2 linked regions of the Macaca mulatta genome follow. The protein of the gene in region 1 purifies or fractionates together with the protein of each later gene. This does not show direct contact. Links are inferred from orthologs where the notes say so. Each region holds a gene or a part of one and is shown on either strand. Other genes may lie near its edges.

Region 1 (3,625 bases):
GGTACAGTGGCTCACACCTGTAATTCCAGCACTTTGGGAGGCTGAGGTGAGCAGATCACCTGAGGTCCGAAGTTCAAGACCAGCCTGGCCAACGTGGTGAAACCCCGTCTCTACTAAAAATACAAAACTTAGACAGGCGCGGTGGTTTGCATCTGTAGTCTTAGTTACTGGGGAGGTTGAGGCAGGAGAATTGCTTGAACCCAGGAGGTGGAGGTTGCAGTAAGCTGAGATGGTGCCACTGCTCTCCAGCCTGGGCAGCAGAGCGGGACACCGTCTCAAAAAAAAGAAAAAGGGCCGGGTGCGGTGGCTCAAGCCTGTAATCCCAGCACTTTGGGAGGCCGAGACGGGTGGATCACGAGGTCAGGAGATCAAGACCATCCTGGCTAACGCGGTGAAACCCCGTCTCTACTAAAAATACAAAAAACTAGCCGGGCGAGGTGGCGGGCGCCTGTAGTCCCAGCTACTCGGGAGGCTGAGGCAGGAGAATGGCGTAAACCCGGGAGGCGGAGCTTGCAGTGAGCTGAGATCCGGCCACTGCACTCCAGCCTGGGCGACAGAGCGAGACTCCGTCTCAAAAAAAAAAAAGAAAAGAAAAAAATGTCATTTAATTTATCTCTCCAGGCCAGACACAGTGGCTCACACCTGTAATCCCAGCTACTCAGGAGACTGAGGCAGGAGAATCACTTAATCACTTGAACCCAGGAGGCAGAGGTTGCAGTGAGGGGAGATTACATCACTGCACTCCAGCCTGGGTGACAGAATGAGAATCCGTCTCAAAAAAAAAAAAAATTATCTCCCTTTCTCTTCTAAATAACCTAAGGTTAAGGTTGTGTAGGAGTTTTTTGTTGTTGTTGTTTGTTTTTTGAGATGGAGTCTTGCTCTGTCACCCAGGCTGGAGTGCAGTGGCGCGATCTTGGCTCACTGCAACCTCCACCTCTGGGGTTCAAGTAGTTCTCTGCCTCAGCCTCCTGAGTAGCTGGGATTACAGGCGCCTGCCACCACGACCGGCTAATTTTTGTATTTTTATCTATTTATTTATTTTATTTTATTTTGAGACAAAGTCTCGCCCAGGCTGGAGTGCAGTGGCACAGTCTTGGCTCACTGCAACCTCTGCCTCTTGGGTTCAGGCAATTCTCCTGCCTCAGCCTCCCAAGTAACTGGGATTACAGGCGCCTGCCACCGAGCCCGGCTAATTTTTTTGTGTGTTTTTAGCATAGATGGAGTTTCACCATCTTAGCCAGGCTGGTCTTGAACTCTTGACCTTGTGATCCACCTGCCTCAGCCTCCCAAAGTGCTGGGATTACAGGTGTGAGCCACCATGCCCAGCTGGTTATGTTTTTTTAAGTAAGCCAAACTTTTGGTTTCTTTTTCTTTTTTGAAATTAGAGATGGGGGCTCTTGCTCTGTTGCCTAGGCATATTGTAGTGGCTGTTCATAGACACCCTGCAGCCTCAAACTCCTGGACTCTAAGGCAGGAGTTTGTTGGAACTTCCTTCCTCAGCCTCCTGAGTTGTTGGAACTTACAGGCATATACACCACTGTGCCTGGTTTTCCATTTTATTGCAAAAGCTGTGTATTGTCGAATGTTTAGGAAAGATAAAAGTGAAATCTACATCAGGAGATACAAGTTGCTGATACTTAAAGTCAAAGTGAAGTAGAATTATTTTTGTTTTGATAAACCTTTTGAGAGAGATTGTAATCTGGAAGTACTACAAAAAACAAAATTGGAAATCACTGAATTTGCACCAGAAAAGCACCTCAGACACTAAACTTAAGCCTTTATTCTGTCCTCTAGAGCAAAAATCACTTCTTGCAAGTTTTCAGTGTCTTACTCTTCTTAGAGTCTTCTTTTTGCTTCTCATTTCTGGATGTAGGAGGTAGTGTTTTTAAAGAAGTGCTAAGTCTAAAAGGTTTCTGCTCATTTTATTTAGATAACAAAAGAAAAATGGATGAGACAGATGCTTCATCAGCAGTGAAAGTGAAAAGAGCAGTCCAGAAAACATCCGATTTAATAGTGTTGGGTCTCCCATGGAAAACAACTGAACAGGACCTGAAAGAGTATTTTAGTACCTTTGGAGAAGTTCTTATGGTGCAGGTAAACTTCGATTGCATCAAACAGTTTTTCTTTACAGTGAATGAGCATCTGGCATTTATTTATTGGTATACATAGAGATGGGGTCTCACTATGTTGCCTATGCTCTGGTGTTGAACTCCTGGGCTCAAACTGTCCTCCCACCTCAACCCCAGTGTGCTGAGCCATGATGCCTTAGCCACATTCTTGTTACTTTTTTTTTTTTTTTGGAGACCAAGTCTCACTTTGCTGTCCAGGCTGGAGTGCAGTGGCACTATCTTGGCTCACTGCAAACCTCCACCTCCTGGGTTTAAGCGATTTCTCCTGTCTTTAAGCGATTTCTCCTGTCTTAGCCTCCTGTATCTGGGATTACAGGCGCACATTATCACGCCTGGCTAATTTTGTATTTTTTAGTAGAGACAGGGTTTCACCAGTTGGCCAGGCTGTTCTTGAACTCCTGACCTCAGGTGATCCACCTGCCTTGGCCTCCCAGTGCTGGGATTACAGGTGTGAGCCACCGTGCCCGGCCATATTCTTGTTATTTTAATGGCACTGTACTTCCTGTTACACAAATGATACTTCCAATATTTGTTATATTTACACACATATCTTGTACTCTATATTATTACCTTCAATATTGTAAAATCCTGCTGTTGCGTGAAGGCTTAAGGGAATTAGGTGATAATAGCTTTTTATCTTTGAATTCATTCTAAGACATTCTGTTAAAATCCTGTTGTGGTGGCTCATGCCTGTAATCCCAGCATTTTGGTAGGCTGAGGTAGGAGGATTGCTTGAGGCCAGGAGTTCAAGACCACCTTAGCCAACATAATCCAGACTCAGGATTGCTTGAGGCCAGGAGTTCAAGACCACCTTAGCCAACATAATCCAGACTCAGTTTCTCTTTTTTTCTTTTTGGAGACAGGGTCTGGCTCTGTCAGCCAGGCTCTAGAGTGCAGTGGTGCAATTTAGGCTTGCTGCAACCTCTGCCTCCTGGATTCAAGCTATTCTTGTGCTTCAGCCTGCCAAGTAGCTGGGACTACAGACGCATGCCACTATACCTGGCTAATTTTTGTATTTTTTGTAGAGATAGGGTTTCACTGTGTTGCCCAGGCTGGACTTTAACTCCTGTGCTCAAGTTATCCAGCCTCCGAAAGCGCTGGGAATACAGGTGTGAGCCACCACGCCTGGCCCCATCTCTCTTTTTTTTAAGAACTCAAAAACATTTCTGTTGTATAAGTGAGTTTTGCTCTATTGTTAACACGGTATGGATTCAATATTAACCTCCTTGTTTTTACTCTGAAGACTAACTTGGTTTAAGTTTTAAACAACTGCATCCAGTTAAAACCATTCAAATTGTTTTTTAAGGAACTATGATTTGGGCGTGGAATGTGTATGTGTACTGTTAGAGTAAACTTAAATCATCCTTTCTAGGTCAAGAAAGATCTTAAGACTGGTCATTCAAAGGGGTTTGGCTTTGTTCGTTTTACGGAATATGAAACACAGGTGAAAGTAATGTCACAGCGACATATGATAGATGGACGATGGTGTGACTGTA
Region 2 (3,625 bases), on another chromosome or scaffold:
CCAGGCTTGATAATGTTCTGAGAAATTGATAAAAGATGTGTGATGTGGACATAAGTAGCAGGGACTTAAGAGAGAAATTCATTCTGAAACTGCTTTGAATATTGTATGTTGTTGATGGGTTGGAAATACATCACCTTGGGAATGAGGTTTTTTTTTTTTTATTGGAGTTCCAGGAGTTGGTAATACCATCATTATATGCAGGCTTCACAAGTTACGTAATTTGTAGTGGGGACACGGAATAGACATTTAATCTGTGTCACCCAGAGGTGGTTTTAGGTTTTAAATTCCGTATTAACGGTTGTTTTCTTTCCAGACTGCAAAATTCAAAATGGGGCTCAAGGTATTCGTTTCATCTACACCAGAGAAGGCAGACCAAGTGGCGAGGCTTTTGTTGAACTTGAATCAGAAGATGAAGTCAAATTGGCCCTGAAAAAAGACAGAGAAACTATGGGACACAGATATGTTGAAGGTTTGATTTACATTGCCCTAGTTACAGTAAATAAAGCATTAAACAATAGAGGTCTTACCCCTTCTGAATTTTAGGTATTTGACTGCATGGAAATGGTCATCTAAGGGAGTTTGTGGCAGCTCTTCCTAGCTTATCTAAAGACCCAGGAAGTCTGAACTTTGTTACCTAATTTTCCAAAAGTGACTAATTCTAAGCACCTCTTTCAGTATTCAAGTCAAACAACGTTGAAATGGATTGGGTGTTGAAGCATACTGGTCCAAATAGTCCTGACACGGCCAATGATGGCTTTGTACGGCTTAGAGGACTTCCCTTTGGATGTAGCAAGGAAGAAATTGTTCAGTTCTTCTCAGGTATGTAGTCCTGTTTGTTGATGAGCAGTGAGTTTTGGCTAGCTTCTGCAAGGTGATTTAATAGACCTTAAAGTTGAGTAGCTTAGGTATTTCAATAGGTTGTGTAAATTGCCAATGAATTAATGTTTTCTTCCTAGAGACCTTCAAATAATTTAAGCCCATCTTAAAGGTGGAAATGAAGTACTTCCAAAATGTTAACTTTGCCTATATTTAGTATTATAGTTCAGAGTAGATCTTTCATTGAGGATTGCCCTCAACAGCTTAACTGCTTTTCCTCACATTGGTGTCCAGCTAAGTACTTCACGTTAAAGGTAAGATCCCTTAACATCAGATTAGTGTGACGAATTAGGTTGTTGTAAATTATGGCAAGTGTCTGTGTTGTTGCAAGAGACACATTTGGGTCATGTGACCAGAATGGTCTAATTCTCTTTAATGCAGAAGTCGATTTATGAAAGACTTGGTTTAACCAGTGTGATATAAACTTACTGAAAATCAGATGTAGTGAGAGTAGTTTGAATGCTTGTAGTCTCAGTATCTGAAATAACAAAGTGTTTTGAAATTGTTCCTGGGCCTAAAGTATTTGAATGTTTTTATGCTGAAGAGCTGATAAGATTGCATGTTTAACAATGTTAGATATCGTATATTTTAAATAGTAATATTTATGATGTGATACACTGGAAGCAAGAAATCCTTTCATGGTTTAGTGTAGTATGTTAAAAATTTATATATGTATCAAGTCCTAATGTCAGAATTTTAAAAATCAAGTCTTGTTTTGTTTTTACTCTAAATTGGTGAGAATTGAATGCTATCTGTCAACGTTAAATATGAACATAATTTCATATCTTCTAGGAAAGTGCTTTAAGTCCTTTTTGTAAGCTTGGGAATGTATCCACGGAAAGGATTTTTCATAGACGGAATTTCCAGAAGTGAATCATAACTACTGTTAGAGCATAAGCATGCATGATTGTGCTGTGTAGATCAGTTTTGTTGAAAGTTTAGATTGTTATGTTTGTCAATTATAATTTAATGTTTTAGTTTTTATATGAAATGTTTAAATGTATACCTTTTTAAAGACGAAGTTCCAATAACTTAAAGCATTGAAATATAAAATGAGGTAAAAGGTGTTTTGAATTTAGTAAAACTGTTATTTAATGCTTAAAACTTAATTGAATTCTTGTATAATTCTCAACATTAAGTTGCATAGATATGTGTTCTTAAGTTGTTGAATTCTTAATGCATCCTGCGTTCAGCAAGTTTTTTTTTTTTTTAATTTATACTGTACCATGGGTGTGTTAAGAATAGTTATACTTCGTAATAATGGAACTTCATATTATTGCAATGCATATTTAAAGAGTACTTGTTGAAAGCATACCATTCACCTAAAGTTAAAAGTTCTGGTTTATTTAAAGCTATAAGAAGAATCATTTCTGGGCTTGTGATGTTAATATTGCCCCCCTACTGGGGTTATTTGTCCTTGGGTTGAAGGGTTGGAAATCGTGCCAAATGGGATAACATTGCCGGTGGACTTCCAGGGGAGGAGTACGGGGGAGGCCTTCGTGCAGTTTGCTTCACAGGAAATAGCTGAAAAGGCTCTAAAGAAACACAAGGAAAGAATAGGGCACAGGTGGGGATGGATGGTTGGTTGGATATGTCACTTTTCTTATGGTAAACAATTAAATCCATATTCTCTCTGCTTAAAAGAAGAAATTAATGTTTTGTAGTCCTAGGTAATTGATGTTTTGCCATGATTTCCAAACTTTTCTTGTGTCAGTCCCATGTTACACGCAAACTAAATTTTAGGTTTAAAATTTGTCCCTAGTTAATTGGTCTACTTGACAATTTTGTGAGTCTTATTAACCCCAATCAATAGAGTTGAGAGACTATGGCTTTAAAAAATTAATGCAAACCTGGCTTTAGCTGTAATAACACCCACCTAGAGTAAATTAATATTACCATAAGAAAATGTGATACTTTCTGATCTTGTTTTTAAAGTTGAAATGCAACAAACTTTTTCTTGCTGTATATAAATATTCTGCATAGTATTAATAAGCATAGCTTTCAAGAAATTGTCACAAAAGGTTTTATTCTCTTTGCTTGTGACTATTTTTCATTGAAGCATGCGCTTACCTATGCTGATTCTTACTAAAAGCATAGGCTGGGGTATTTATTGGCGAAAGGAAATGTGTAGTGTGGGCTAGACTGTTGGTGGAGGCTGGCTTTTTAGCCCACTTGCTATACATGCTGCCAATGGATTTAAGACTTGAAATGTTGAAAGTTGAGTGGAATTATTTCCCTCCTAGAACGTTTATTTACAGTACTCCTCTCTACCCCTAAGGTTGGGCTCTGCCTCAGGAGGAGTGAGTGTTTTTTTTCTGTAAAGTTTACATTGTCTTACTATTTATTGAGTGAATTTCTGGTCATTGCCTATGCAAATATAAGAAATCTGGCTTTAAATATTAGTCAGTTTCATGGCTATGACTAGATTGTATTTCTTGTGTAACTAAATACCTGTATAAAATGAACTAATGTTGTCTCTCCCCTCCCTACCCCTTCCTTATGAACGATGCTTTAGGTATATTGAGATCTTTAAGAGCAGTAGAGCTGAAGTTAGAACTCATTATGATCCACCACGAAAGCTTATGGCCATGCAGCGGCCAGGTCCCTATGACAGACCTGGGGCTGGCAGAGGGTATAACAGCATTGGCAGAGGAGCTGGCTTTGAGAGGATGAGGCGCGGTGCTTACGGTGGAGGTACGTGAGGATTCCCAGGGTTTGGCAAGTAGTCTGTTCCTTTGTTTAGGTGTTT

Evidence for each region.
Region 2: the proteins of TARDBP (region 1) and HNRNPH1 purify together in Homo sapiens (affinity purification with western blotting; 3 studies listed by BioGRID and IntAct, with this or other methods). This does not show direct contact. The link is inferred for Macaca mulatta from reciprocal best matches to the Homo sapiens genes TARDBP and HNRNPH1.

What each region holds. Positions count from the first base shown.
Region 1 is NC_133406.1:229,708,500-229,712,124, reverse strand, and holds part of TARDBP (TAR DNA-binding protein 43), read left to right. Parts: intron 1-1,930; coding exon 1,931-2,094; intron 2,095-3,501; coding exon 3,502-3,625. UniProt on the Homo sapiens protein: RNA-binding protein that is involved in various steps of RNA biogenesis and processing.
Region 2 is NC_133411.1:188,578,540-188,582,164, reverse strand, and holds part of HNRNPH1 (heterogeneous nuclear ribonucleoprotein H), read left to right. Parts: intron 1-313; coding exon 314-469; intron 470-675; coding exon 676-819; intron 820-2,304; coding exon 2,305-2,443; intron 2,444-3,391; coding exon 3,392-3,570; intron 3,571-3,625. UniProt on the Homo sapiens protein: This protein is a component of the heterogeneous nuclear ribonucleoprotein (hnRNP) complexes which provide the substrate for the processing events that pre-mRNAs undergo before becoming functional, translatable mRNAs in the cytoplasm.